Linked DNA regions of Lonchura striata. The protein of the gene in region 2 interacts with the protein of the main gene of each other region in a biochemical or structural test. Links are inferred from orthologs where the notes say so. Each region holds a gene or a part of one and is shown on either strand. Other genes may lie near its edges.

The links.
Region 1: the proteins of UBE2D1 (region 2) and TRIM25 form a complex in vitro, tested with the Homo sapiens proteins (8 studies listed by BioGRID). The link is inferred for Lonchura striata from reciprocal best matches to the Homo sapiens genes UBE2D1 and TRIM25.
Region 3: the proteins of UBE2D1 (region 2) and MIB2 form a complex in vitro, tested with the Homo sapiens proteins (2 studies listed by BioGRID). The link is inferred for Lonchura striata from reciprocal best matches to the Homo sapiens genes UBE2D1 and MIB2.
Region 4: the proteins of UBE2D1 (region 2) and ARIH1 form a complex in vitro, tested with the Homo sapiens proteins (4 studies listed by BioGRID). The link is inferred for Lonchura striata from reciprocal best matches to the Homo sapiens genes UBE2D1 and ARIH1.

What each region holds. Positions count from the first base shown.
Region 1 is NC_134621.1:7,694,452-7,701,938, reverse strand, and holds the start of TRIM25 (E3 ubiquitin/ISG15 ligase TRIM25), read left to right. Parts: upstream 1-4,468; 5' UTR 4,469-4,501; coding exon 4,502-5,128; intron 5,129-6,167; coding exon 6,168-6,263; intron 6,264-6,694; coding exon 6,695-6,928; intron 6,929-7,487. Other genes in the region: COIL (coilin), read left to right, coding at 87-182.
Region 2 is NC_134609.1:2,765,066-2,772,126, reverse strand, and holds the start of UBE2D1 (ubiquitin-conjugating enzyme E2 D1), read right to left. Parts: upstream 3,006-7,061; 5' UTR 2,922-3,005; coding exon 2,898-2,921; intron 1-2,897. Other genes in the region: CISD1 (CDGSH iron-sulfur domain-containing protein 1), read left to right, coding at 4,253-4,283.
Region 3 is NC_134626.1:2,459,602-2,466,532, reverse strand, and holds the start of MIB2 (E3 ubiquitin-protein ligase MIB2), read right to left. Parts: upstream 3,016-6,931; 5' UTR 2,784-3,015; intron 1-2,783. UniProt on the Homo sapiens protein: E3 ubiquitin-protein ligase that mediates ubiquitination of Delta receptors, which act as ligands of Notch proteins.
Region 4 is NC_134613.1:6,955,098-6,962,350, reverse strand, and holds the start of ARIH1 (E3 ubiquitin-protein ligase ARIH1), read left to right. Parts: upstream 1-4,240; 5' UTR 4,241-4,313; coding exon 4,314-4,676; intron 4,677-7,253. UniProt on the Homo sapiens protein: E3 ubiquitin-protein ligase, which catalyzes ubiquitination of target proteins together with ubiquitin-conjugating enzyme E2 UBE2L3.

The DNA.
Region 1 (7,487 bases), on a different chromosome or scaffold from region 2:
GGTCCAGGCAAAAGCATAACAGCACAGAAATTGCATCTGCTGGTGCTGCTGGCACCTGCCAAGTGCTGCCTGTGGTTTGTTTTCAGATAACTGAGAGCTGGGATGCGCTGATAGAGCCAAGACTGATTGTGGAGCCTCCAGTGAACGGATCCAGCGTTGCAAACGGAACATCTAGTGTGTGAAAAGATGTGAACAATTGTACAGATCTGTTCTATGAAGTGCTGTCTTCTGGTTCTGAGGGTGGCAGGTGCACTGATGGATGTTACTGTCTTAAAAGAAGTAGGCCAGAAGAAAAATGTTTTTTTTCCCTTAGGTTATGTTTTTATGTAATACATGAAAACTTTGTTTATTATAGGAAGTCTAATGTAGACCTGTTGGGTTTGAATATTTCTACTGTACCAGGCTGCAGAACTGGAATGGTTTGATTAAAAGATAAAACACAACCCTGTACTGTGAGTAATTGTTTAAATGTCTGGGTTTGGCTAGAGCTGTGTGACTGCCAGAAGTCACTTTCATTTAAAAATTTATTATAAATATTGTTGATGTGCAGAACTGTCCCTCTGCTGTTGCCACAGCATACAGATGCTGTGATGCTGTAGTTACTTAAAGAGTTCACCTAAACATATCCAGAAAAGCATGTGGATTTCAAGGTTTCTGTAATTTTGAGGCAAATAAATAGCACTGGTGACTGTCAACTTTGCTTAGAACCAGTGAAATACAACATGAACCCCTGGCACAATTGTGTCCTGCTGTGTTAATCCATGTAGGCTCTGAAAGCCTTTATTGTTGGTTTTAGAGAAAACCCTCTTGCCCTTTAAGTGATGAAGTTGCTGTGCTGCCTTTCTTCTTCCTGCTTCTTTCCTTTCTTCTTTTTTTCTTCTTTCTACTTCTTTCCAGCAGCACAATGGGTCACCAGGTGCTGGCAAGGCGCTGCACTGACAGCTCTAATAATTATTATTAGCATTGAGGGGGACCTTGTACCTCTGGAGCCTTGGCAAGTCTTACACTTTCAGATAATCCCTGTGCTAGGTAGCTGCCTCCTACAGGAAAGACATGTGAAAAAGCAACCCTAGATACAAAGACCTGAAAATTTGTAGATTATGGTTTAGCTGTCATGTACTCTGACCTAGTGCATGAATCCATTAAAGTTCTGTGCATTTTTGCATCAGCCCTAGTAAAATGCCTTGTTTGTGAAGGAATCGTTTTTATACAAGTAAAATGTATTTGTGTTTTGTGGTTCACTTTAGATACCATTATTTCATGCTAGGATTTGCTTTTTTAGATAACAGTTTGGTTAGATTTGTGTGGCTGTTCTTGCAAACTGAATGAAAAGAGGATGTCAAACAGGAGCACAGTCATGCTCAGACAGTGAGGATTAATGGAAAGATTCTTTTTCTAAGGGAATTGTTACTTGTTAATTCTTAGGAAGTTGCAAAAGCTAAATGCAAATGTTTCACAGTACCTGTTGTTCCATTGCCTCCATTTTTGGCATGATTTTGAGTCCCTCTGGCTGTGCCACACGGGTGATGCTGGAAAATAAATACACCCCTGAGAAGAGAGGGTGTTTTGAAGGTAAAATCTTGAGTTTTATTTACCCACTGTTAGCAAGTCAAATCAGACCAAGGGCAGGCAATCTGAGGGAACTGCCAAGAGCCCTGCCTGTCCCATCCACATCCTGCTCTGAGGAATCTGGGATGGGACAATGTGCACGTGAATCCCACAAGGAGGTGGTGAAACACTGAGCAAACCCTCACTGCTGCCTGTCTGTCCCTGGGGCTCTCCCATCGCTCAGCCCCCTTGCTGGGGGCAGGAATGTGAGGTGCCTTTTATCCCACTGTGCTTCTAAAGCCCTGCTTAAGCTCTGCGGGGTACTTGGAATGTGCAGTGGCTGGGCAAAGGGTTAGTTTCAGTTTGGAATCACAGGAAGTTCTCAAGTATTTGCAAGCAGAAGTGAGTAATAACTTAAATAGCTATTCAAATGCTAGCAATAATTTTTTTATGTTAAAATTTATTGTCTCATAGACAACAGGAGTGGTTGGGCTTTCTCCAAACCAGAATCTCAAGCCATCTTTGACAATGTGGAACTTAAATTGCTCATCTGAACTCTAAACATTCCGTGCCATGCTCCAGAAGCAGAAGCTGCAGTTGTGAGGGTTTATATTTACCTTTTTTATTTGCATACCTTTGTCTATATCAGCTGATTCCATATGAGTGCCACAGAAAATACAGTGAAGGTGCTGAGTGTTTGAAAGATGACAGAGGTTTAGTCCAGATAAGCCCAGGGTGGGCTTATCTGGACTGAGGAACCTGTGGAAAAATAAAAAATGCAAACATTAAGAGCTGCTCTTTTGTCCCATCTCATGCACAGCACAGCTCTCTGAGAGTGTTCCTTTGCCATCCCTCTCAGCCACCCCATCAGGTGTTTACATTTCTTGTAACAGCAGTTACAAAGTCCTGATCAGCACATCCCAACCATGCTGTAAACCTGTGGCACCGTGCGCATTTCCTAGAAACTCCACCCTCGAGCACATGACAGAGCTGATCCTGAACTTTTGCTCCTGTCACAGCCCTGCAGCTCCCAATGCCTCCATTGTCGGTTCTGCGCCTGTATCTGTTACTGGGCAGTGACTCAGAGCCCTGTGACACACAACCCCTCTGCAGCTTATCCTGAAGGAGTGTTAAAAGGCTGGAGGGATAACTGGTGTAGGTACAAGTCCATGTTATCTGTACAACACAGCTTTACAATGATTCTCCAAATTTAATTTAATAGTCCAAAAGAACTGGCTAGGAGCTGATTTCACTTGTAACAGACCACCCAACATTGCTTCTTTTGAGTGCTTTATATTGAGCATGAGCATGAGCCAGCAGTGTGCCCAGATGGCCAAAAAGGCCAATAGCCCCTGGCCTGTATCAGCAACAGTGGCCAGGGAAGTTATTCTCCCCCTGTACTCGGCACTGGTGGGAGCACACCTTGAGTGCTGTGTCCAGTTCTGTCCCCTCAGTTTGGGAAGGACGTTGAGACCTTTGAGCCCATCCAGAGGAGGCAACAGGGCTGGAGAGGGCTGGGAACACAAGCCCTGTGAGGAACGGCTGAGGGAGCTGGGGGTGCTCAGCCTGGAGAAAAGGAGACTCAGGGGTGACCTTATCACTCTGTACAACTCCCTGAAAGGTGGATGTGCTCAGGTGGGGTTGGGCTCTTTCACCAGGCAGCACTGACAGAACCAGAGGATACATCCTTAAGCTGCCCCAAGGCAAGTTTAGGTTAGATGTTAGAAAGAAATTCTTCACTGAAAGAGTGGTTGGGCACTGGAATCGTCTGTCCAGGGAGGTGGTGGAATCATCATCCCTGTAGTTTAAAAAACAGACTGGATGTGGCAGTTAGTGCCATGGTTTAGTTGATAAGGAGGTGTTAGTTTAGGTCATAGGTTGGACTAGATGATCTTAAAAGTCTCTTTCAACCTAGTTCATTCTGTGATTCTGTTTAACTCCTGAACATTCTTGGAAGTCCCCAAGAACTAACGCCAACAAGATGGCCTGCTAATACTTTTAAATTACATTAAAGGGAAGCTCAGCAGTTCTCCACACAAGGTGTTCTTTGCCCACTGGACAAGAGTTGAGAGCACATGGCTCCTTCTGCTGCAGGCCATCAGGTTCTGTTTAAATTATTGGGGGGTCACAGACTTTGTGCCAGGCTGCTCCTTTTATCCCTGCTGCCAGCATGGGTGGAAAAATATAGAGGGTCCCAAGGAAATCCCTGGGACACCAGCAGACAGGGCAGAAGAGGGAGGAGGAAGAGGCCACTGGAACAATTTGTGGTCAAGTTAGTTAAGACAGGAGTACTTGCCATGTTGCTATTCAGCATCAGTGTTCCTGTTAGAAATGGTGATTATTGAACAGTTAGACTAAGAAAAAGAAATCTGAGGAAGCATCTCCTGTTCAGATGGTTTCCACAATCACAAATCAGTAACCTGTGTGCTTTGAAAACGTTGCCCTGACATCACCTGTTGCAAACAGATTATTTTTAAGGTCCTTTCCAACCCAAACCTATGAGTCCGTAGGATTTCCAGCACCCATCTGACCCAAAACTCGGAGCAGCTGGGGCGGTGCTCGGGGCGATTTGGGTTCAGCACTCCCTGAGCCCGGGCGGAGCGCTGCTGTCCCGGGTTGCCCTGAGCCGGAGCGGGCCGGGCAGCGCCCCGAACGCTCCGCTGCGGTTAGAGCCGACCCCGCGGCCCCGGGCACCTCCGGGAACGGTGCCCGGAGCCCCGGCCCGGAGCCCCGGCCCGGCGCTGCCGCGGGGTCCCGTTCCGCGGGGCTGCGCCCCCGGCATCCCGGCGCTGCCCGGCCCCCACATGGGCGGGCGCCCCGGGTTCGTCCCTCGGCTGCCGCCCCTCCCGTCGGGGCGGGGATGACACGCAATTTTCCGGAAAGCCCCGGCCGTAGTTTCGTTTCTCCGAGGCCAGGTTTGCTTCGGGCTCCTGGGGCAGCTGCGGACGGGGCGATGGCGGCGCTGGAGTCGGAGCCGGGCCTGTCGGGGCTGGAGGAGGATCTCACCTGCTCCATCTGCCTCTGCCTCTTCAGCAGCCCCGTGACGGTGCCCTGCGGGCACAACTTCTGCGCCTCCTGCCTGGAGCTCAGCTGGGCCGGCCTCTCGGGGGGCTTCAGCTGCCCGCAGTGCCGGGCCACCTTCGCGGCCCGCCCGCAGCTGCAGAAGAACACGGTGCTGTGCCGGGTGGTGGAGCAGCTCCAGGGCCGCTCCGGGGACAAGAGCGAGGAAGAGGAGGAGAATGAGGGTGGGGATGGGGATGGGGAGGCGGGGGGGTGCTGGGCGGGCGAGCCCCCCGTGTCCTGCGACAGCTGCCAGGAGGCGCCGGCCGTGCAGACCTGCCTGACCTGCACCGCGTCCTTCTGCGCCGAGCACCTGCGGCCGCACCGCGACAGCCCTGCCTTCCGCGACCACCAGCTCTGCCCGCCCCTGCGCGACCTGCAGCTCCGCAAGTGCCCCCAGCACAACAGGCTCTTCGAGTTCTTCTGCAGCAAGCACGGCGTCTGCATCTGCTCCCTCTGCCTGCTCGGGCACAAGCTGTGCCCCACCAGCCCCTTGGAGGAAGCAACAGCCACTGCCCAGGTGAGCGGCCGGGGCTGGCCGGGGCTGGAACATCCTCCCAAGGGCACCCCGGAGCGCCCCTTGCCTCCCTCGGTGCCGGGGGAGCCGCTCTGGAGTGCGGGGAGGAGGCCGGAACAAGACATCGACTGTAAATCTCGGTCTGGCATTGATAAACTGTTATCTGCCTTCCAACATGTGCTCAGGCACGTCCTCAGAGCCATTCCTTCCATTTTCCTCGTCTCTCCAAGATGTTGCTCAAGAGCAGGGGTCTGGGAAGGCGCTGCCAGGGAGCTGGATTGACAGGGCTGGGCTGTCCTAGTCTGGGCTGGGTTTACCAGCGAGGCTCCCATTCTCTGTGGCGTCAGCCAGAGCTCTGAGCCTCCTCTGCTGCTCTGCTCCCTGCCACGGCTTGTCACAGCCTGAGGGGCCGACATTCTGCTGCAGATGTTCTTAAGAAGAAGAATTATAAAGGTATCCTAGGGAGACCTCAAATATGTAGATGAAAGCCAGAAGGAGTAGAAAGGAAGGAAACCTGGACTTTATATTTTCCAGCACAGCTGAAAATCAATGTGGATGAGTGAAGTATGCTGAAAAAGTTTAGATGGTCAAACTCCCATCTGTTCAGTGGGTGTGTACACAGTGTAGCTGCAGAACATAGCCCTGATTGAGCTTAGCAGAATCTTGAACTAAAGGAACAGGTAAATCACATCTAAGAGAACATTCTCAAAAGGAGAGGGGTGAACAGTAGCATCAACTCTGTGCTGGAAGTCTGATGTGAGAGCTAATTTAACATTTATTCTTAGCATGAGAACTGCTGTGCTGATGAAAGCATAGGTCGTTTGTGAAGAGAGTGTCAGCAATGGCAATATGCTCTTGGGAGAGGTGGGGAGGGTGTGGGTGCCACAAGCCATATTTGCAGGATGCTACTTTTGCACCCCCTAAGATTCAAGGAAAGGTAGGTTTTAAGCTGAGAGTACTAAATGCTTACAAGAGTATTCAAAACTGAGAGCAGACATGACAATTGCCTCTCTGAAATACTTTCTGGTCTTTCCTGTTGCAGTCGATGCTGAAGAAAAAACTTGTGGAGCTGCATAACCAGGGTGAAAGAACTGCCCGGGCAATGAGCACGGTGAAAACAAAACAGAACCAAACTGCTGTAAGTGGAGAACTGCTCAGAGTACTGTTGGCTTGCCTGGCACCCGCTGGCCACTGCATGGTGTTGGTGATTTTACCCTTGTGACAAGGGCTGTAGTGCTGAGGCTGCATTGGCAGGAGAAGGTGTTACTGGGAAGCAGCAGAAAAGAGGAGTTTTGGCAGGGCCAGGCAGCTCTGGGGGACATAGGAATAAACCAGGCACTGTGCAATGTCTTATACCCTCACGTGAGGGTGACACTGAGAATGGGCTCCATTCCTTGTGAGTGAAGTTTTCTTTCCAAACCACATAGAAATCGACAGCTCTTCTCTTGCTTGTTTAAAGGAAGAGAAGCCCACATGTTCCTCAGAGGCTTTCATGCAGTAGCACTTAGAGTATTTTGTTTACAAACTGTTGTTTTGAAACCAGTACCTGTCTGCTCTTGTCTACCCCAGGAGACAGCTTCAAGAAAGATGGAATTAATCAGAAATGAGTTTTCAGAAGTTAAAGCTGTAATTGAAGAAAGAGAAAATGAGATCATGAAAGCAATTGCAGAGGAAGAAAAGAGAGTTTGGAATAAGCTTGATTATATTTACAGCGTTCTGGGAAATAAGAAGAATGAGATTCAGTCTCTCAAAGATCAGATTGAGATGGCACTAACTGAAAGTGATGATGTTCTGTTTTTGAAGGTAATGTGTCATTTAAATGTGAATCCAATTCTTCATTCTAGAATGCAGAATGACAAAAACTTCCTGTGGTCATCCTGCTCTCCAGAGACTTGCAGTGAAATGGAAACACAGTGGCGTGCAAGAACCTCCTATCAAAAGATGTCCTGAAAAGTAAACAAGTATCAGTGAAAGAATGTTGAAGGGGTGTTGCTGTTGAGTCAGGGAGGGACGAAAAGACTCCCGTGGTTCAGAAGGCTTAAAGAATGTTTATTAAGTAGCAAGTACTTTTGTAGTCTGACTCACTAGGGTGGAATACGATTGGTGTCAAAGTAAAAACCTTTCACACTATTGGTGCACACTGTGGTAGAATATGTCTATAAAAACAACATGAACAGAAAGAGAGATAATAATTGTTTGAATTCTTTCTCCTAACTTTCCCAGGCTGAAGCCTGAGAGAATTCTCTCTGTTCTCTCTTCGACTGAGCTGAGAGCCTCCACAAAGGGATGTCTGGTAACTCTCCCAGTTCAGCCACTGCCTCTGCCACAAGCAGAGGGGTCACTGGGCAGGAGTTACGTCTGT
Region 2 (7,061 bases):
CCAGAGGTGGCAAGAATAAAGGCTTCTTTGCACCATATTTGTTCTGTTAAAAAACCTACATTATTTGTTTTGCTTTCATCATTTGCAACATCTGGAATTTACACTGCCCACAAAAATCTCTCAGTTGTTCTTTCAGTGCCCCAAGGAACATCACAGATGGTGTAACTGAACTTTTTTAACAGTATAGAAATTCAGTGCCTCTCTCATACAACAGCAAAGCAAAACACACACAAGGCAAATGAACACAGGACCCTCAGTTTATGATGAGTAAGAATCCCCCGACCCAAAACTCCCTGAGGAACTTTGAGATGAGTTTGTCACAGAGACACTGCTGACAGCTGTGCCTGCAGAGCAGGGCTTCATGTCCTCACTGTTCTTACAGCTACAGCACGAAGGTCAACATAGCTCCATGTGCAGTGATCAGCTTCTTCACTGCTTACTCAGTTGCCCATTTTTAAAGAAGCTTCCAAGCACAATATATCTTTCTGTAACTAAGGTACAGTCTTGGAAGTCCACATGCTATCCTCCTTTGAGGAGCCCTCAAAGATGATTAGCCAAAGGCAGGATGCAATGACACAGGTCCCAGTGGTGATATTATTTAGAAATCAGACAGTATGACAAAAAAATATGCTTACTAACAGGCTGACATATTACAGCTTTGCTTCCTTTGTAGGTGTTATCACAGTGAACAGACAAATTATCAAAGTTACTGTGAACAAACACTCAAGCTGACACTAAAATCCTTTGGCTTTGTTCTGAACCACCCTAAACCTACAAAAGCTTAACTTCAGACAGTATGTCTAGACTGATGAGCTCCAAGCAATATCGCTGTGTTTGCTGACACTGTTTTGTTCTCCAAAGAATTCCTCTAGGCACTTTGAAACCACAGCACTTCCTCTACTCCAGATCTTACCCCCTCCTATCCTTCGGACACAACGTAACTATGAACCTTTACAGCCAGTCTGAAACACCAGGAAAGTAAGTGAGACAAACACACCAACATACAAATGCATTTCATCTACCGTTAAACTTCCATTTCCATAGTTTTGGGGAAAATTTTATGTATTACAATGACATCATAACAGTTTGTCTTTTCAAACTTCTCCATTTTAACTTTCCATTTGAAACAAATTTATTTCCTTGCCATTCCCTTTCCTTTTCTACTTCTCAAGAAACAGACTTCTAGCCAAATCCCTCTGGTAGAATTCTTTTTCTTCTCCTGGAAAGGCAGAAGAGAGTGATGGGGGTACTTAATGGGAAAAAAAGAAAACTAGCAGTAGTAATTTCTGCAGCAAACTAGAAGCAAGTGGTAACCAGTTCCAATTTAATCTCAACTCTTCTTGGACTTACCTTACCCAGTATCTGTTCATGTTTCAGATAGAACTTATTGTATAACTAGGCAATCTCGTAGCACCTCACAGTCAGCAGGTTAGAAAGCATTTCTTCATTTTGAAAGAGTAGAAACAGAATTTAATAAAGCTAACAGAATGAAAGATACTTAGATAAAAAGCCTAACCATAATTTCACATCTATCAAAAGTTCTTAAATGCCACATTAAAGAAAATTGTGGCTTTCCGATATGTATAAACATCTCTAAAGAAGAAAAAAAGTTATGCAGGCAACATGATAAAAGTATGAAGACTAATTAATTCAATTCCAGCAGGACCTCATTTAGAAAGCCCCAAATCATCACTTCATCTCAAAAATACTAGATTACCAGACTTCTCCCTTTGTGTGTTTATTTTAGCAGAAAGAAGCTGAACAAGAATTGGAAAGATATCGTAATCAGAACAATCCTTTTATTGAAACCTGAGGACAAGGAGATGTTCAAGAAGAGGTGGGAAATGAAAGTGACAACAAGAGGCAAACCATTTGTATAATATGTAGAAGCACGACAAAGTTATTGCTAAAGAAAACCATTGTAGTAATTTGTTAATATTTGATATAGTGGTCGAATGCAACAACCATGGCAAAGGTGATATGAAGGAAAAAAGTTGTCCTGTAATTGCACTTTGTGTAAAGGCATAGGCTTTGCAGCATGGGACAGGACTACCAACTTCTGAGAGAAATCCATCCAAAATAAGTTGAGATCTACTGTAGGGTATCCCAAATCTGCCTACCGTGGGGTTAATCCATCTCTATAGAATCCTATTTCAGCAATACCAATGGCTTCTGACAGCAAATGGGAATCCTGCACAAGAAATAATCGCACCGTCACATAACCAGGATAGCAGCAATGCCGCCTTAACAGGGCACATCAACAGCAACCAAACACCAGGGATTCTGTTCCACGGCCAAAGCACTAACCTTTAATCCAGCCGTGCTGGCCGCGGTACCGTGTCCGTACTGCACAGCGGTCAGCTCAGCCTTGCCAAACAAAAGGAAACCGGGAATCCACAACTTCAACCAGGCCCTTACAAGTACCAGCCCAAAACACCACCACTGGGATACGCTCAAAGGTCACACCAAGAACTGTGCTGACAACGCTTCTTAACCCAGCCTACGGCCCCGTTACACAACGGCAGCGACGGATGTTGTCCTGCGCCTCTGCTGAAGGCGCCGGCAGCACCTCGGCTTTCCCCGCTCCCGGTCCACGAACGGCGCCTTGAGCACCGGCTCGGGGCGCGGGGCCTTCAGGGCGGCAGGGTCCCGAAACCGAGAGGCGGCCGGCGAGAGCCCCCCTCCTCCGTCTCGCACCCACTCTTCTTCCCCGGCTGCCGCCGAGGCAGGGACGAGTCCCGGCAAAGCAAGCGCGCGGCAGCAGCTGCCGCGGCACCCCTCGCTGAGCCCGGTCCGGCCGCCGCCTACAACCCGCGGCACCGGGGAGGGGGCAGCACCGGCGACTACCCGAGGGCAGGGGAACCTTTCCGCCCCCTCCCACGGCTCGCCCCACTCACTTTTTGTATCCGCTTCAGCGCCATGGGAACGCGCGGCGGGAGCGCGAAGCAGGCGGCGGGAGCGCGGGGCGGGAGCGCGGGGCGGGAGCGCGCGCCGCGGAAGCGGGAGGGGCGGGGCCGCAGCCGCCGGGCCCTTTGTGCGCTCCTGCGCATGCGGGGCCGCGGCCGCGCGCGGGGCTCGCCGGGAAGCGCAGTCCGCGGGCGGAGCGGCTCTGCGCGGGCGCGGGAGCGTCGGCCGGGCGCGCCCCGCCCCTCGGGCTCCGCGGGGTCAGTCCGTGTCTGATGAACACGGGGGGAAGGCCGCGGCCGGCACGCGGAGAGGTGAGGAACAGGAAAGTAACCGTGTGAAGCTTCAAAACTGCATACAGGGAAAAGGTGTATCATATTCGTCATGGTGTGTGAGAGAAGCAGTAGACGTGTGGGTTGAAAAGTCTGTTGAACAGGTCGTAGAATTATTAAAGTTGAAAGAGACCTCTTAAGATCGAGTCAGTGCGGAGCAGTCACGCAGAGTGCACTGGGGCACACACCCACAGGATTTTCTCTCTCAAGGTTTGGAAGGGTGCAGCCTCCTTTTACCCTGAACTCCCGGCTGCACGTTGCCCTCTTTCTTTCCCCACCGGCTGAGGTACTAGGAAGGTACAGCCTTCCCGAACTGCCTAGCACATATTCCCCCCTCGTATATGTAATTTTCCCCCAAAGTTCAGAAATTCGGGCTTGTGCCAACCCATTTGTTTCAGAGTCACACTGTCTGGGTTCTCTAACAAACCTGTGGCTTGAAGTTGGTAGAGACATTAAGGTGCATTTCAAAGACATTAAAACCCATCCCTCACCTACGGAAGCATTTTGTAAAGACATAAGTACACATCTTTGCTATAAGGTCCAACCATAAACGAGGTCCCAGAGTCATTAACCAGGTATAGAACTTAGATAATAATTTTTTGAGGTATAGTAGTTCTCACATCAATACCCAAGCTTATGAGGTTCGAGGCGGCTGTCACTTGGTGGATATCACTTTTCCGCTTAATCTTTCCACAACTACAGAGGAGAGGGCGCACGGAGCGATCTGCTCTAAGCGTTTTGCAGAGCAAAACTGACAGAAGAAGAGAACGGCGGCGCCGAGCCAGCGCGTGTGCGCAGGACGCACAGGGTGCCCAACACCCATGTTAGAGCTGCAGAGGCCTCCCTGAGCGCCCTGCGCCGGGCGTCGGGCCAGTGACAGCGCTGCCCGCTCCTCCCTCCCGTCCCGCACGCCGTAACCTCCGCCTGTCCTCTCCCCGCCGGGAGGCCTTGAGGGGGCGGCCCCGCGGCCATCTTGGGCAGCGGCGCGTGCGCGGTGCGGAGCGGCAGCGGCAGCCATGGGGCCGGGGCAGAACAGCGCCGTGAGGGGTATGGCTGGCCGGGAGCCGGAGGGCTGAGCGGCCCGGAGGGGCGGGGCGGGCCTGGGGGCCCGCGGGCGGGCGGCACGGGGGGCGCCCCTCGGGGGGGGGCGGCTCCGCATGGAGCCCCGTGCCCCGGCGGACCCCCGGGACAAGATGGCGGGCTGCCCGCCGCCGGCCCCGCGGGGTGCGGTGGGGCCGGGGCGGCCGGGGGGATCCGCTCCGCAGCAAAACCCCTCCCGCGGCCGGCGAGGCGCGAACGCCGCGGGCAGCGCGGAGGGGCCCCCTGCCCCCGTCCCGCCCCTCTGCAGAGCTGTGAGGGCCCGCAGCGCCGAGCTTCGGCCCCGCAGCGCCGAGCTTCGGCCCCGCCGCGCCGAGCTTCGGCCCCGCCAGCGCGCTCCCGGATTTTATCTGTAGTGGGGACAGTCCGTTTCAGACGCCACTGTTTTGTTTCTGTGTTCCACCTGTTGGAGTGAAAATTTCGGGAAAACCGGTAAATTTTAGAGGTTTTGTCTGGCTCTCAATGCCCGCTGCTGTACAGTAGAGGTAACGGTGACATTCGCGCTGTGTAATGATTGACTTGAACCCTGCCTGAGGTAGCGTTGTGTGTTTTAAATGCTGTTGCACAACCGGACAGGATGAAAGAGTTAGGCCGGGTAGAGGATAGAATAGAAAGCTGAATTATCTAATTTTCTCTAAAATATTAGCTTCACATGCGTGACTGGTTTCCACTTGCAAAGCTGTTCATGGTGTATGTCCTTAATTTAGCGGGCAGATGTGTTTTTTTTTTTTTTTTTTTTTTTTTTGGTTTTTTTTTTTTTTTTTGGTTGTTTTTTTGAGGGGTGGGTAGGGTGGAGATTACTGGTACAGAGGATGCTGGCAAACACATTAGTCTAAAATGGGCTATAGTGGTGGAAGGCTATGCTTGTTAAAATAATCAAATCACTGAGAATCACTTGGTAATACCTTGCATCCAGGTTGTGTTCCCAACGGCAGCTTGCTGTCATTTATAATTTTGCAAGAATTTGAACAGTTCCTAGACATTGGGAATTAAGCAGAAAATCTGTGTGGAGATGGGAGAAGAATATGCTCTTAAACAAACTGAAAATATCCTCATTGTCTAACAAAAGCATAGGAGCAGCTGATGGCACTAGTCTGGAGGGTGCTCTGTTTAGCAGGAGACAGCATTAGGTTTTTGTGATTTCTGAAGAGATAAAACTTGATCAATGCCTTGTGACTAGCAGGCAACATTTCTTCCTTCAGCTGGCATGTGTCTCAGGCTGATGAATTTTGAAAATCATTCTCTACTGAAAACTAGACATCAGAAGCTTACCATATTTTTGTGAGATTTCATTCGTGGTAGCAGTGGGGGGAGTTAATTGCTTCTGTGCATGTGTGCCCTTTGGAAGGCAGTGAGTAGCACACCTATTGCTTTTGGTTTGAGAGGTGTGGTTGTTTGCAGGTGTGACCCCACACCAACCACAGATCTGATCATGGTGACGAGTCTTTTACAGCTTGGTGAAATCCAGCAATCTTCTTCCCTCAGGTGGCCTCTTTGCCATATGTCTTCTGTTGAATTAAACCTGCCAGTCATAATCTCATTTTTTTGTCGGTGCTGTGGAGTGGTAGAAGTGATTTTGTCAGCTTGACTGCTTGACTTTTACTGTTAGGTTTTTTTGTGTATCTAGTTATCTTGATACACTTCAGTAAGTGAGAATCACGTGTTTCTCCATTATTGATTTTTGTTGTGGGCAGTGACACTACTGGACTGTCATGAACAACTCTTGCACAATAACAGTCTCTTCATTGGCAACAGAATTGGCAAGAAAAATGCTTGAAAGTTACAAGTACTTCTGGAGACATACAGTTTTTCATGTCAGGTGTTATTACTCTGTGACTTTAGAATAACATAAATATTTTCCGAGCAGCAGAGGTAACTTGACTGTTGCCTCTTAGGGCAGACTTGGACTAACTTTGTCAGGGTGTAGCTCTCCCCCATATTGTTGATAGTTGCTAGAATGTAAATTGATCTGGGTTCTTAACAAGGATCTTGGTGGAGGCAAGGCCACTTCACTTTCTTAATCCACTTCTCAGTGCAGTTGGTAAATGTATGTTTTCCTGTGGATATAGTCTCAGAGCTCTCTAGCAGATCCAAAAACTCCCTCTGTAGTGTAGACCTGGAAACATCCAGAGCAATGCTCTAGATATTTAGAGAAAGAAGAAGAGAGGAGAAACTTCGATCTAAATATCTTTCATTAGGATATGTCCAAAGAATACAGAAGAGAATAAATCCCTATCAGTGTCTTATTGCCATTCTCGTCTCTGATTTTTTTTTTTGTTTACTTCTGTGCACTGCCTGCTCTCCTGGGGCTTCATTCTTTGAATTTGTTTCCTTCTTTCCATCTCTGTTGCTGTCTCTTCTCTCATTTGTGTGTTAATTTTAATGGAGTTCTAGCCAAATTTTTTTTTTCATTGTTTAGTGCTTAAAACACAAAACCAATTTTTTTTTCTGCCATGTTACACAGGCCTGTTTTGTCTTGTCTTGTAACACTGTGGTTTGGTATTATACCAGCATTTGGAGTTCTTTAATAATAACTCAAAAGTTGCTCCTACTGCTTTTTATTTTAGAAGAAATAAAAACCCCTTGATACTCTACATCAGTGTCAGTCTGTTAACAGATGCCTCATGCATGACCTTAGGATTTTTGGCAGCAAACTGTTGCATTGGCACCAGAGGTCTTTTGAAACCAGAGGCCTTTTGAAACCGTTCAGAGTATTTAAAAATAAAA
Region 3 (6,931 bases), on a different chromosome or scaffold from region 2:
ACTTCCACATCAAGGCAGCTGAAAAAGCCATGGACATCCCTCTTCCCAAGAAAAAAGGGAAGGAGACAACTGCAATCACCACACTTACAGTACTCCCACAGTTTCTTGCAGTTTCCCAGACATTTGACAAAGTTTTAGTGGAAAAGGCATCCCAGTTCTTCCAAACAATCCCAGCAGTGCCCATTGCAGACCAAAGCAGGAGAATAACAGATTCTTCACACACGGATTTGGCACAGGATTTTCGCAGGCACAGAGCTCCAAACATGCACTCAAAATAAATGTCAAAACATATGATGCTGTACAGCAAAATCAGAATAAGCAGAGAATTGTGCTGAGCCAAGTATCACACAAATATGAAGCTCCTTCTCATGGCAGTGACTCACAGAGCTGTGCTGTGCAAAGAGGAGAGCATAGGAAACACATTCACCTTTGTGAAGCCTAAAAAGAAAATAACTCTTCAATAAAACAGAGCCTGTGGTGATGTTGGTAAATGACAGTTTGTTAATAATGCTGCAGGCAGCCTAAAGGAACTCCTGATCTTCCACCACAGAATTAAATAATCTGAAAAACAGGCGTAAGGTACTAACGCCTGTTAGTGGTAGAGCTGAGAGTACAGAGAGTTATCTGATACCCAAATATTGCCCTGTAAGTTAAAAAAGAACTTACTAAAGGAACCATCAGGTGCCCAAAAGATGTCACCTGCTCCAGACTCAAATCTACACACCCAGAATTCAGAGCAGAAAGCAAAGCTCAAAACAGGGCAAGAACCTCTCCAGCTCCTCCAAGGCTGTGGAAGCTTCCCCTTTCTTATCTCCATTATCTGCCTGTCACACAGCATCATTCCCACCATAAAAATGTGAGATGTGGTTTATTTACAGGAGCTGCATCCCTCGACAATTCACTCCTCCAGATCCTGAAACCATGAATGAAAAATTCAACAGGTAATCAAGCATTGGAGGAAAGTCCTAGAAGGATGAACAACTGCATCATTCTTCACAGCAAGCAGTTTCAGGAAACCAGGGAGTTTCTAAACAGAGGAGAAATAAAAATGGTATCTCATTTGAGCCAAATACACTCCTCCTATAGCAACAGAGAAGTGCAGAGGATGTCATGAGGCTCTTAGCCAAAAAGAGAGAAGGTTCAGCAGTAAAGCCAAGCTCAAGTGACCTCCATGAAGGTGAGCCAGGGCTCACTTGCTTCTCAATGAGGTAGAAATCAGAATTTGTGACATTCAGAAAGTAATTCTGCAGCAGAGCATGGGCAGTGAAATGACAGCAAACACCTTCAGTGCCTCCAGCACAGCTGCACCAACTTCTCTGGGTTTATTTATTTAGTCTGGCCCTTTCTGCCTCCACTCAGGCAGACTGGAAATCCAGAAACACGGCAGAGAAAAAGCCCCATGTGCCTCAGCTTCGAGCTTCCTTCCTCACATGCTCCAGGGAAAATGAAATTCCCAGCAGGAATTGCTGCCCCCAGCTCAGGCAGCCCGGCCTTACCTGCAGTACCTGTCAGGAACAGGACGGGAACAGCACGGAACAGCATGGGAACAGCACGGAACAGCACGGGAACAGCACGGGAACAGCACGGAACAGCACAGAACAGCACGGAACAGCACGGAACAGCACGGAACAGCATGGGAACAGCACGGGAACAGCACAGAACAGCACGGGAACAGCACGGGAACAGCACGGGAACAGCACGGAACAGCACGGAACAGCACGGGAACAGCACGGGAACAGCACGGGAACAGCACGGGAACAGCACAGAACAGCATGGGAACAGCACGGAACAGCACGGCTGCTCCCACCTCCAGGGCGCCCAGGAAAGCACCGGGAAAGCTGGAGCACAGCAGCGCCGGGTGCGGCCTCAGTCCCGGCCAAGGGGACAGAACCACCCGGGCCAAAGGGGCCAGAACCACCCAGGCTAAAGCAATCAGAACCACCCAGGCTAGAGGGGTCAGAACCACGCGGGCCAAAGGGGCCAAAACCACCTGGGCTAAAGGGGCCAGAACCACCCGGGCTAAAGGGGCCTCAATCCAGGCTAAAAGTGATGGAACCAGCCTGGCTAAAGCTGCCAGAACCACCCCGGCTGAAGCAGCCTCAATCCCGGCTAAAGCTGCCAGAACCACCTGGGATAAAGGTGCCACAACCACTCTCTCTAAAGTGGCCTCAATCCTGGCTAAAGCTGCCAGAACCACCCGGGATAAAGGGGCTGGAACCACCCGGGATAAAGGGGCCGGAACCACCCCCCTAAAGCGGCCTCAATCCTGCCGAAAGGTGATGGAACCAGCTCGGCTAAAGGTGCCAAAACCACCCGGGCTGAAAGGTGCCAAAACCACCCCGGTATACGGGCCTCAATCCCGGCTACAGGGGCCAGAACACGTAGGCTAAAGGGGCCAGAACCACCCGGGCTAAAGGGGCCAGAACACCCGGGCTAAATGTGCCAGAACCACCCGGGCTAAAGGGGCCAGAACACCCGGGCTAAATGTGCCAGAACCACCCGGGCTAAAGGGGCCAGAACCACCCCGGTATACGGGCCTCAATCCCGGCTAGAGGGGCCAGAACCACCCGGGCTAAAGGCGCCAGAACCACCCGGTATAGGGGCCTCAATCCCGGCTAAAGCTGCCACAACCACTGTGACTGAAGGACCAGCACCACGCCGGCTAAAGCGACCCGAACCCCGGCTCAAGGGGCCAGAAGCACCCCGGTGAAGAGGCCAGAAGCACCCCGGCCGCTGCCCCATCCCGAGGGAACACTCCCCGCGGTGTAAAGCCGGGCACGTACCTCAGCGCCGAGGCAGAGCCGAGGATCCCCGGAGCCACCAGCCCGGCGCCGTCCCTGCTCCATCCCCGCCCGGGCGGGCGGAGAGCGCGGGCGAAGCCGGGCACGGGGGCTGCGATCCGCCCTGCTGCCGGGGCGGCTGCGGCAAAACAGCCCTGCCCGAGCCCCGCCGCGGGTCCGTGTGTCCCGGAGCCGCGGGCCCGTGTGTCCCGGAGCCGCGGGCCCGTGTGTCCCGGAGCCCCGCCGCGGGTCCGTGTGTCCCGGAGCCGCGGGCCCGTGTGTCCCGGAGCCCCGCCGCGGGCCCGTGTGTCCCGGAGCCGCGGGCCCGTGTGTCCCGGAGCCCCGCCGCGGGCCCGTGTGTCCCCGGGCAGGGCCGCGTCCCCGCCGCAGCTCGGCCCCGGGGCCGCCCCGCCTGCGCTCCCGCGGGCAGCCGGGAGCTGTAGTTCCGCCCCGGGCGCTGCGACTACAACTCCCGGCAGCCCACGGGAGCCCACGGGAGCCCACGGGAGCCCACGGGAGCCCACGGGCAGCCCACGGGAGCCAAGGGGAGCCCACGGGGAGCCCACGGGGAGCCCACGGGGAGCCCACGGGCAGCCCACGGGAGCCAAGGGGAGCCCACGGGGAGCCCACGGGGAGCCCAAGGGGAGTCCACGGACAGCCCAAGGGGAGCCCACGGGAGCCCACGGGAGCCCAAGGGGAGCCCAAGGGGAGCCAAGGGGAACCCAAGGGGAGCCCACGGGAGCTCACGGCAGCCCCGGGCCCGGCCCGGCTCGGCTCGGCTCGGCTCGGCCCGGCCCGGCTCGGCTCGGCTCGGCCCCGGCCCGGCCCGGCTCGGCCCGGCTCGGCCCGGCTCGGCCCGGCCCGGCTCGGCTCGGCCCGGCTCGGCTCGGCTCGGCCCGGCTCGGCTCGGCCCGGCTCGGCCCGGCCCGGCCCGGCCCGGCTCGGCTCGGCCCGGCTCGGCTCGGCCCGGCCCGGCCCGGCCCGGCCCGGCTCGGCTCGGCTCGGCTCGGCCCGGCTCGGCTCGGCCCGGCCCGGCTCGGCTCGGCCCGGCTCGGCTCGGCCCGGCTCGGCCCGGCCCGGCCCGGCTCGGCCCGGCTCGGCCCGGCCCGGCTCGCCCCGGCCCGGCCCGGCTCGGCTCGGCCCGGCCCGGCTCGGCTCGGCTCGGCCCGGCTCGGCTCGGCTCGGCTCGGCTCGGCTCGGCTCGGCCCGGCTCGGCCCGGCTCGGCTCGGCCCGGCTCGGCTCGCCCCGGCTCGCCCCGGCCCGGCTCGGCTCGGCCCGGCTCAGCCCGGCTCGGCTCAGCCCGGCTCGGCTCGGCCCGGCCCGGCCCGGCCCGGGGATGCGGGAAAGCCCGGGGCAGCGCCCGCCGCGGCCGGGCGGAGCGGCTGTGGGCGCCGCAGAGAGCCGATGGCTGCGGCAGCGTCAGAGCCTGAACTCTGGGGCTGCAGGCTGCAAAGGACCGGTGCAAACCCAGCTGCTGCCGCTCCGTACAGCCTGGAGGACTCGCTGTCCCTCGTCCTCTGCGTTGGCCGGGCCAGCTAAACGCACCAACTGGAAAAATGTGAATTTTGGAACCAGGGGGTTGATGTGCCTTGGTGCTGGCACGGCGTTTTCCATCGGCCTTTGGCCAGAGGGTGAGAAGGGAGTGCCAGGGAATGTTTGGGATGTGCTCAGAGCGTGCTCTGGTCTTCCCTCAGCTCGGTTCTTGCCAGGCAGATTTATGTTAATGCAGGTGTAAAAATGAATTTATGTTAATGTAAATGTAAAAATTATTTACGTTAGTGTAAATGTAAAGAGGAATGCAGGTGAGTGCAGTCAGCACCAGTTGTGGAGATCCATCCATAGGGTTTTGGGCTCACTCAATAAATACTGAGATAATTCAGCACTTACTTTTGTCAGTGCTTGTTCTAAGCTTGCATATCCAGGCTCTGAGTTATGTCAGGTTGGGTTTTTTTTTTTCCCAAGCTAATTTCTCTTTAAAAAATAAAACCAAAATATTATACAACTTTAAAAAAAAATAAATTAAAGATAATCTCTCTTTTAAAAAATAAAAATTAAAACCGAAATGTTTTTAAATTGAAAAGAATTCAAATTCAAGCTGATCTCTCTTTAAAAAATAGAAATTAAAAATTAAATAGTTTAAAGTTGAAAATAATTAAAATTCAAGCTAATCTCTCTCTAAAAACAAAAATTAAAATAAATTGTTTAAAATTTGAAAAAAATCAAGCTAGTCTCTCTTTTAAAAATGAAATTAAAAATAAAATTGACTATTTGCAACGTTACTTTATCAGATATCACCAGCCCAAAATGCAGCAACGAAAACACAGCTTGGATTTGAAGGAAAATAGCACTGAATATTGGGGAGAAACCTCTGTTTTTCCGTGCTCCTATCCCGGTTTTCCAAGGGTTTCAGCAGGAATCGTTCTCTGCCCGCTGGATGCCGCTGTTCCATAGAAATATTCAATATTCATGGGCTTCCTTCTGCACCTCCGGGCAGCCATGGAAGCCACTCCAGGGTCACCAGGCTATGTGCATTTACCCTTTTTTTGGTTTTTTTGGGGAAAAAAAATTGCCTTTTTTCCCTCCCAAAAAAATCTCCTTAATATTTTGCACCTTCCAGACCTGGCACGTGGAAAACTGGGGCCACTCGGTGCTTTTGTGATGTTCTTGGAAGGTGAATATTTCATGAGATCAAAATGTATGGGTGGGATAAAAATGTATTGGTGATTGAGGGGAAAACAGGCTGCCCAAAATGTGTTTTCAGGTATAAAATATCTCTATAAAATATTTTTTTTTAAATTATCTATCTATCTATCTATCTATCTATCTATCTATCTATCTATCTCTATATCTATATCTATATATAAAATATCATTCTACATATCTATATATAAAATATCATTCTACATATCTATATATATAAATATATTTTAATATATATAAAAATAAAATATAAAATACAAAAATATAATATATAAATATAGAATATAATAGTATAATATTATATATAGTATATATAATAATAGTATATATAGTGTGTATATATATAGTGTGTATATATAGTGTATATATATAGTATATATATAATATAGTATATATAGTATATATATAGTAATAGTGTGTATATATAGTATAATAATCATATATAATAGATCATAATATATATACATATATAAATAGATAAATATATATAATAGACAACAATATAGAATATAGAATATGATCTTGTATATAATAAAAATAATTATATTAATAATACATATTGTATAAAACAATAAATATATTAAATATATGAATGTATACATTCTAAAATATACAAAATCATAAAATATAAAATAATTCCCCCAAGTGCATGTCCTGTTTTGCATGTTTAATACAGGGGAAAAAAATTTGTTTTGGAGAATCCTCTCCTTAAAAGCAGAGCCTGGAAGAGGCACCGGTGTTACCTTCGGAGGCAATGACCTGGATAAAGCAGCAGGGATGAGCGTGCTCCCACTTTTCAGGGAAAAAACCAATTTCTATTTAGAGCTCAGCTCAGCCTCAGACAAAGCAACGTGACCTACATCCCAGCTTGGGGAATTAACTTTGAGGAAATTCGGTTCCACGCTTTATTTCTCCTCTGAAGAAAACAGAACCACAGCTTAAGAGAATCCAAGCCCAAGGGGGATTCCTCTTTATTCCTTCCCAGCTGTTTTTAGCACTGAAAAACAGCTGGGAAATGTAGCAAAAATAAGAATGAAGGGTAGCAGGAGCAGGCAGGGACAGACCGTGATCCTGTGCCAACAGTTCTGCTCTTTGAGGGGGATTTGGGGTTTCTCCTCTTCCTCCCGTGACTGCTCCACACAATATCTAGGGCAGGATGCTCAGCATCACTGAAAAATTAGGAAAACTGGCTCAGTCTTCCAGCCTGTGCTGAGTGTCAGGTGGAAAATTGGCTGAATTCTGGGATGGCTGTGTGGAGGAGGAGCATAGCAGAGAACAGAAACTCATCATAAACTGCGAAACATCAAGTTTTCCCCCTGCACTCTGCCCACCTTCCTCAGGAAAAAAAAAAGCAAAAATAAAAATAAAAAATAAAAAATAAAAAATAAAAAATAAAAAATAAAAAATAAAAAATAAAAGGCAAAATTCCCATTCAATTGTTTCAGTGTTG
Region 4 (7,253 bases), on a different chromosome or scaffold from region 2:
GTGTGCAGACATCCAAAATCAAACCCCAGGCACTGGGAAATCTTCTGGATTTCCTTTTCCCAGCATGGGAACTCTGTATGTCTCTGGTGGTGGAGAAGAAAAGCTTTTTCCAGAGATCCTGCCTGCCTCAAGGAATGCGGGAGCAGGAAAGAGGCTGGGTGGGATGGGAGGTTCACCCTGAATCTGCAGGCGGTTTGTGGTGTGGGGCACCAGCACTTTCACAGCATTTTGGTATCACGAATCAGGGCTTGTCACGAGGAGATGCTGCAAGTTCTTGTGGAGGCTGAGTACATGTGGCTGCTGTCCCTGGCTTCTCCCAGCCACGGCTGTGGGGCTGAGGTGGAATCAATCAGAGCCTGTGGATGCTCCATGACAAACTCCCTGTGCCCAGAGGCGATGCTCCCATAAATCCTGTAAGCATGTGCTTAACTTTGGGGAGCAAGGTGATTGCAAGGCAATATTTTATTCTTGTCAGCTTCAGTGTTAACAGTTACCAGAATCACTTGGGTAATTAAGCTCTTGTAAGAATAAAGTGAAAAAGCACCAGGTGTCTATGGAGATCTAAATCATTTTTCAGAGTGGGCAGAAGAGCAGTTTTTGGCTTTCCTCAGTAGCTGGAGTCCTAAAATCCCCAGAGACAGTGCAGATCCCCTCCAAATGAGGTAAAGGCAGCAGCCCTGCTTTTCTCAGGTACATTTTGGCAACCACCTACAAGAAACTGGTGGGTGACCAGGGCTTCGTACGTGACCATTGATTGGAAATTTCAAAATAAAGAAAGGCCTTTTGCAAAAGGCATGGCTAAAATTTTATTCCAAAAGGTATTTTTGAGATGCATTAGTGTAACTGTTGCTGGAGTAACCGGCTGCAAAATGCTGATGCCTGTCTTGCAGTTGGGAAAGATAAGGCTGGGACTGTAGAAGGTGAACTGATTTCCTTTATCTGTGGGACGTCATTGGGATGATCTCATCACTGTTTATAAATATTTATTACTGGGATCATAGCATGGTTTGGGTAGGAAGGTAGGTCCCTACCTCTAAAAATATCTTGTTCCAGCACCTGCCGTGGACAGAGGCACCTTCCACTAGCCCAGGGTACTCCAAGCCCTGTCCAACCTGGCCTTGGACACTTCCACCATCTCCTCTGGGCAACCTGTTCCAGAGCCTCTCCACCCTCACAGGGAACAATTTCTCCCCAGTATCCCATTGAACCCTGCCCTCTGGATGTGGGAAGCCGTTCCCTGTGTCCTGTCCCTCCATTTCTTCCCCAAGTCCCTCTCCAGCTCTCCTGGAGCGCCTTCAGGCCCTGGCAGGGGCTCTGAGCTCTCCCTGGAGCCTGCACCCCCAGCTCTCCCAGCCTGGCTGCAGAACCTCCTTTCTCTGGGCTCCATGCAAGACTCTGGGCTGAGCTCTGCAGCTTTGGCTAGGGCCAGGACAGGGCTGTGGGGAAGTTCTTGGAGCACCTGGAGATGGCCAGTCCCTGTTCCCAGGAACAGCTGCTTCCCAAACACGCACCCAGGTCTGTCCCCGAGGGGAAGATCACCTCAGCCAAGGATTTTTGTGTTCAAAGCTACCAAAGTTCAATAAAGCCAAACCTCATTGTTTGATCAGTGCCTTTCTTGGGGTCCCGTGTTCAAATGAGCAGCCCCAAAATGGCTTGTGCCTTGTCATTGTTGGCCAGGAGCTGGGCATGCCACCAGCTGAACAAGACTAGCTCAGAGTCCCAGGGGGTGACACACAGTCCCCCGTGGGGAAGAAGCAGCGGGTGAGGACCTGGAGCAATCCCCTGAGCCCACACATGATGTGTGAGGTGGGACCAGCCTGGCAGATGTCCAGATGGTGCATCTGGAGCTGAACCAAGTGAGGGCTACTTACATTTATGTAGGGCAGGATGATTAAAGCTCTGGCCTTTGCAATTCCACCTAAGTTGGGTAATTAGAGAACTGGCTTTATTGACTGGGTAGCATGGCATGAGGCAATGAGCATGCCCAGTCCACACCCCCTGTGTGCTTGACCTGAGCAGAGCAGAGCTCAGGGTGCTGCCTGTGTGTCTGAAGGTACAGCCGGGTACCCAGCAGGGATTCTAGAGACATCTCCCAGGCCATTGGACACTTAATCTCCCCGGACCCCTGAGGGCACCTGCATGTGTAAACCCCTGTCACTGCAGCCATCATAATGCTGTGTTTCAGCAGGAAATAAACATCCTTTGGGATGCAGCTTCTAATTTTCTTCCTGTTTCACAAGGGATTTGTGTGAGACAGAAGCAGGAAGCAGGATCCTGCTGCAGCAGATGACTCCTGTCCCAAAGAGCTGATGAAATTTGTCACACCTACACCACATACTACCCTGATGAATCTCATCTTCATCCTGGCAGAGTAACGTCACCACATCCAGATGACCCCACTTCACTCTGAGAAGGAATTATTCCCCAGGGCATGAGGAAGTGGAAGGTGAGCACCAGTGGGAGAAGGTGGCCCTGGAGCCCTCCCGGGGCTGTGCCAAGCTCTCACATCCATGTTGAGCAGTGGTGGAGAGGGGGGAGCAGCTGGTTCTCCTCTGGGCCAGACTGCAGCCTTGTTTCCAAGCCAACCGGAGTTCCGTGAGCTCCCTGAATGGCTGCAGACAATGAGCCCAGCAAGCCTCCTCCATATCAGGCTGAGCACAGCTGATGCTGGAGGCAGGGAAGGCTGAGACAAAGGGTGCTCAGCCCCTGCAGCACCTCAGTGCCCATCCTGCCCTTTGCTAGCAGCTCAAGTTCAGGTGAGAGGTTCTGGCAGGGATGAGACCACGCGGGAACAGCATTTCTGAACTGCCCAGGGCACTTCTCAACCCAGAAGGTAAAAAAGTCTATCCCTGGTCTGGGGATGAAACCTCAGGTGTTTTTCTCTCTGCAAAATGCCAAATTAACAGAGAATAAAGGGAATCAAACCTGGCACCAGTGAAAACCCAGTAGCACCATCTTCACAGACCAGAAGGCAACACTGGAGCACAGTGAGGGTCATCCCAGGGGTGGTGGGCTCATATTTATCCCATGGAATGGTTAGAAATTTCTGCCTGGAGGGTCTCAGTGCAATGTTATTCTGATTTTGAGGCAGTGCAACCTATTTTCCTATACCTTTCCCTCACATTCCCCTCATATTTGTATCACATTGTCCTCACAAGTCGCTTGCTAGAGACCACTCAATTTAATGGTTGCATTGGGAGTCTTCTCCACACTTGACCCACAGTACACTTCAGAAGGGCTCCATGCCCCAGCTCCACCTCATGTCTCATCACTGGGCAGAAGGAGAAGCTGGTAACCCTCCCAAACCTTCTGCTTCCCCACCCCTCCAGCTTCATCAGAACTGTAGGGATAGGACAGTATAATGGGTACAAACTGAAAAAGGGACATTTTAAGTCACATACTGAGGAGAAATTGTTCCCTGTGAGGGTGGTGAGGTCCTGGCACAGGGTGCCCAGAGCAGCTGTGGCTGCCCCTGGATCCCTGGCAGTGCCCAAGGCCAGGCTGGACAGGGCTTCGAGCAGCCTGGGACAGTGGAAGGTGTCCCTGCCCATGGTAGGGGGTGTAATGAGGTGAGCTTTAAGGTCCATTCCAATCACTTAATATTTGTGGCACCAGGAGCAGCTGAGGGAGCTGGGGGAGCTGGAGAAAAGGAGGCTCAGGAGGGACCTTCTGGCTCTGCACAACTCCCTGGCAGGAGAGGACAGCTGGGGAGGTCAGGCTCTGCTTCCAGGGGACAGGACAAGAGGAGACGTCCTCAAGCTGTAGACTTGAGGTTAGGCTTGGGTTGGACATCAGGAGGAATTTCTTCATGGAAAAGGTTGTCAGGCATTAGATGGGGAGATGGTGGAGTCCCCATCCGTAGAGACGTCCAAGGAAGGACTGGACGTGGCACTCAGTGCCGTGGTCCGGTTGGCAGGATGATGTTGGGTCTCAGGTTGGACTCGACGGTCTCGGCGATCTTTCCCACCACAGCGGGTGCGGTGTTTCCGCGGCGCTTCCCGCCCGCAGCCGCCCTGGCGCCGCGCCACACTCAACATGGCGGCGGCGGCATGAGGCGGGCGGGGGCTGGGTGGGGGCGTGTCGCGCACCCAAGATGGCGGCGGCGGGCGGGGTGAGATGGCGGCGGGCGCGCAGGCGCGGGCGGGCGGCGGTGACGCGCGGGGCGCGCGGTGACGGAGCGCGGCGGCCGCGGCCCTTTGTTGGCGGCGGTTGAGGCGCGGCGGGGCCGGGCCGGGCCGGGGCCAACGGCGGCGGCGGCGGGGCCGGGCGCGGGGAGGCCGCGGGAGCCGCCGCCGCTCCCTCAGCGCCTCGCCATGGACTCGGACGAGGGGTACAACTACGAGTTCGACGAGGACGAGGAGTGCAGCGAGGACAGCGGCGCGGAGGAGGACGAGGAGGACGAGGAAGAAGACGAGCCCGACGATAATCTGGACCTGGGCGAAGTGGAGCTGGTGGAGCCCGGGCTGCGCGTCGGCGGAGAGCGCGACGGGCTGTTGGGCAGCGACACGGGCGGGCTGGGCCCCGGCGGTGGCGGCGGCGGCGGTGGCCTGGGCGGCGGACCGGGCCCCGGCGGCGGCCCCGAGCAGGAGGAGGATTATCGCTACGAGGTGCTGACGGCCGAGCAGATCCTGCAGCACATGGTGGAGTGCATCCGCGAGGTCAACGAGGTCATCCAGGTGCGGCCCCCCGGCACCGGGACTGGGGCGGACGCACGGGGGAAGGGGCGCGGGGGGTGGCGGGCCGGGCCGGCGGCCTCCTGCGGGCACCGGGCCGGCCCGTCCGCGGCCAGGGCCTCACACACACTTGCCGGTAACCCCCGGGGCTGGAGGGGGCTCAACTCGGTATCCTCCGACGCTGGAGGGGTGGGGGGACGCCTCCTCTCGGTACACCCTGGGGGTGGAGAGGGCTCCTCGTCACCCCCGTCTCCCGGGAGGCCCCTCGGGCACGGCTAGGATCTCGCTTCCTGCTGTGGAAGCGTCGGGAACGAGGCCTTTGGCACTGAAAGGGCTCCTCTTTGTGTGGTGGCGAGCTGGGGGCCGTAATCTATGTTTTTGTCTTTATTCCGCTCCGTTCTCATGGTGTTTGGCAAGGTGTAGCTCCTCCAGCTCCTTCGGTAACCCGCGGAGTCCATGGCAAGCCCTGGAATTCCAGGAGAGGCACCGCTCTGGTTTTGTTGCCGTCTCCCTTCCCTTCCCCCCTCCACGCATAGAGGTTGAACCTTGTGTTTATTTCCAGCAGAGACCAGGAGGGGTACGAGCAATCCCTTCACAACCGTAACTTTTTTTACTCTCAGTCTTTAAGCCTGTCTCTTTAAGACTGAAATAGAGTTTGAAATAACATTTACCTTCTTTAGATCAAAGTATCTAAGTCTTATTTCTTGGCTCCTAAGTTTTTTGGGGAAAAAAAACAAGCCATTGAAGCGGTTTAGCATCCCTTTCTAAATGTTCGTGGCAAGGTTCGGCTCTAGCTCACCATCAAGTTCCTGTTGCAGTTCACTTTTCTTCAGGTGATGGGATTTCTTTAGTTCCCATATACTTTACGATTACTCAGAGTCGGTAGGCAGTGCTACCCTTTTCCAGTATGCCAACGGGAATAGCATGAGAAATCTGTGCATAGGAAGTAATGAGGGATCCAGTGTCCAGAAAGGAGTTGTTTTGCTGGTTGTGTGTGTTGGTAAATCTCTTTAAACACGAGATGCCTCAGTGAATGTTTTTTCTCTGGCTGTCCTCTGCAGTGGCTGTAACAGCAACTTTAAAATATTGCTTTATGTGCTATAATCCCCTGTAGTTTGTACAGAGCTTGATGCAAACAGCTGTAAAAATATTTGCATGCTAAATTAGTAAATGGCATTCCTTGAGTCAAATTAAAGTTTATAACTTTACTGATAGCATTGCCCATGTAAAGGTGAATAAAGGAGTCTGCCCGGATTAGCTGATTACCCTGCAGTTAAAGAAGATCTCATGGTTAAACAGGGATGTTTATTTGCTCCTAGTTATCGATCCTGATGTAGGGAGGGAAACAGTTGGCAGGCAGACATGCAAACAGTGGGGACCTTCAGCTTTTTACTCTTTCAAATAGTCATTAAAATAGTGAGTCTGTGTTTAATGATTAAGATTGCAAAAGTCATGGCCCATTCTGTTTGTATTGAACAGACTCTGCCATATTCCTTATCTTTGCATAAGACAAGTGGTGGAAAAGTTGCTGCCAGTGAAGAGCTGAGAGTGTTCCTGCTCCTGAATTTTCCAGACCCAGCTGGTGGACTCACCTGCATATTCTTCATGAACTAATTTGTTAGAGAAGGTCCTGATTACTGGTCTGAGTAGATTTGCCCTCCTCTTACACCACCCTGAAGCTGTTTGACTTGTGTGCTCGACCTGTGAGTTGCAGAAATAGTGGAGAGAAATGGGTTGAGGTGATGAGCCCCTTGTTCTGTCCCATCCCCGGGGTGTCAGCGGGAGGCCTGACCCTGTGCTGGGCTCTGCAGAACCACCCCCCTCGACCTTCCCGTGGCTTCTCTCCTGCTCCAGTTGCTGCTTGGGGTTTGCAGTAGTTCCTCCTGGTTTAGCAGAGAAGGGTGCACAAAGTCTGTTTAGATTGTCATGGGTTAAGTCGGGGCCCAAAACCAACTTAGGCCCTGGAATGCATCAGGAGATATTAGGAAAGCACTCGGTTGCCCTGGATGGCTGTTAAATGCCAGCTTCCTGCCATTAGATTTCTGGGCTCTTCCGAGGTAAGTGGCCTGACTTCTGCCGATACTTCAGGAGTTGCTCATAAGTTGCTCATCCTCACTCCTGTGGCTGCTGGTGAAATCTTCCAGGGCTCAGTTCTGTTTATTTCCTTGTGTTTGGCAGCCAACCAGGATTGCTGCTGCTGCTTTTCTGGTTCAGTAAACCTTTTCTGGAGTCACATTGGCTTGGGATCCTGCTGCGGATTCTGGGTTGCTGAGCTGTGATTCACTTGTTCCAGTCAAGTACTGGATGGCTTTTGGTCTGTGTGTGTCTGCCGTGGGTTCTTGTTAGCAAATAGTGATGGTTGTGGTTACATTTTTGAGTGCTTTGAACTTACTTGTTCAAGGGAGATGTAATGTACAGCCTGAAAACTTCAGCTGTGGGTCTTGTGCTCTCTAATGGGTGATTTTTTTTTTTGCTGATCAAGTGTAAGGTATAAATGGGGTTTTGTTTTGCAGCTGCAGTGAAAGGAAAATAGAACAGGGACCCACAGAGTATTTGCAAGGAGGTATCTGAGTCATGGCA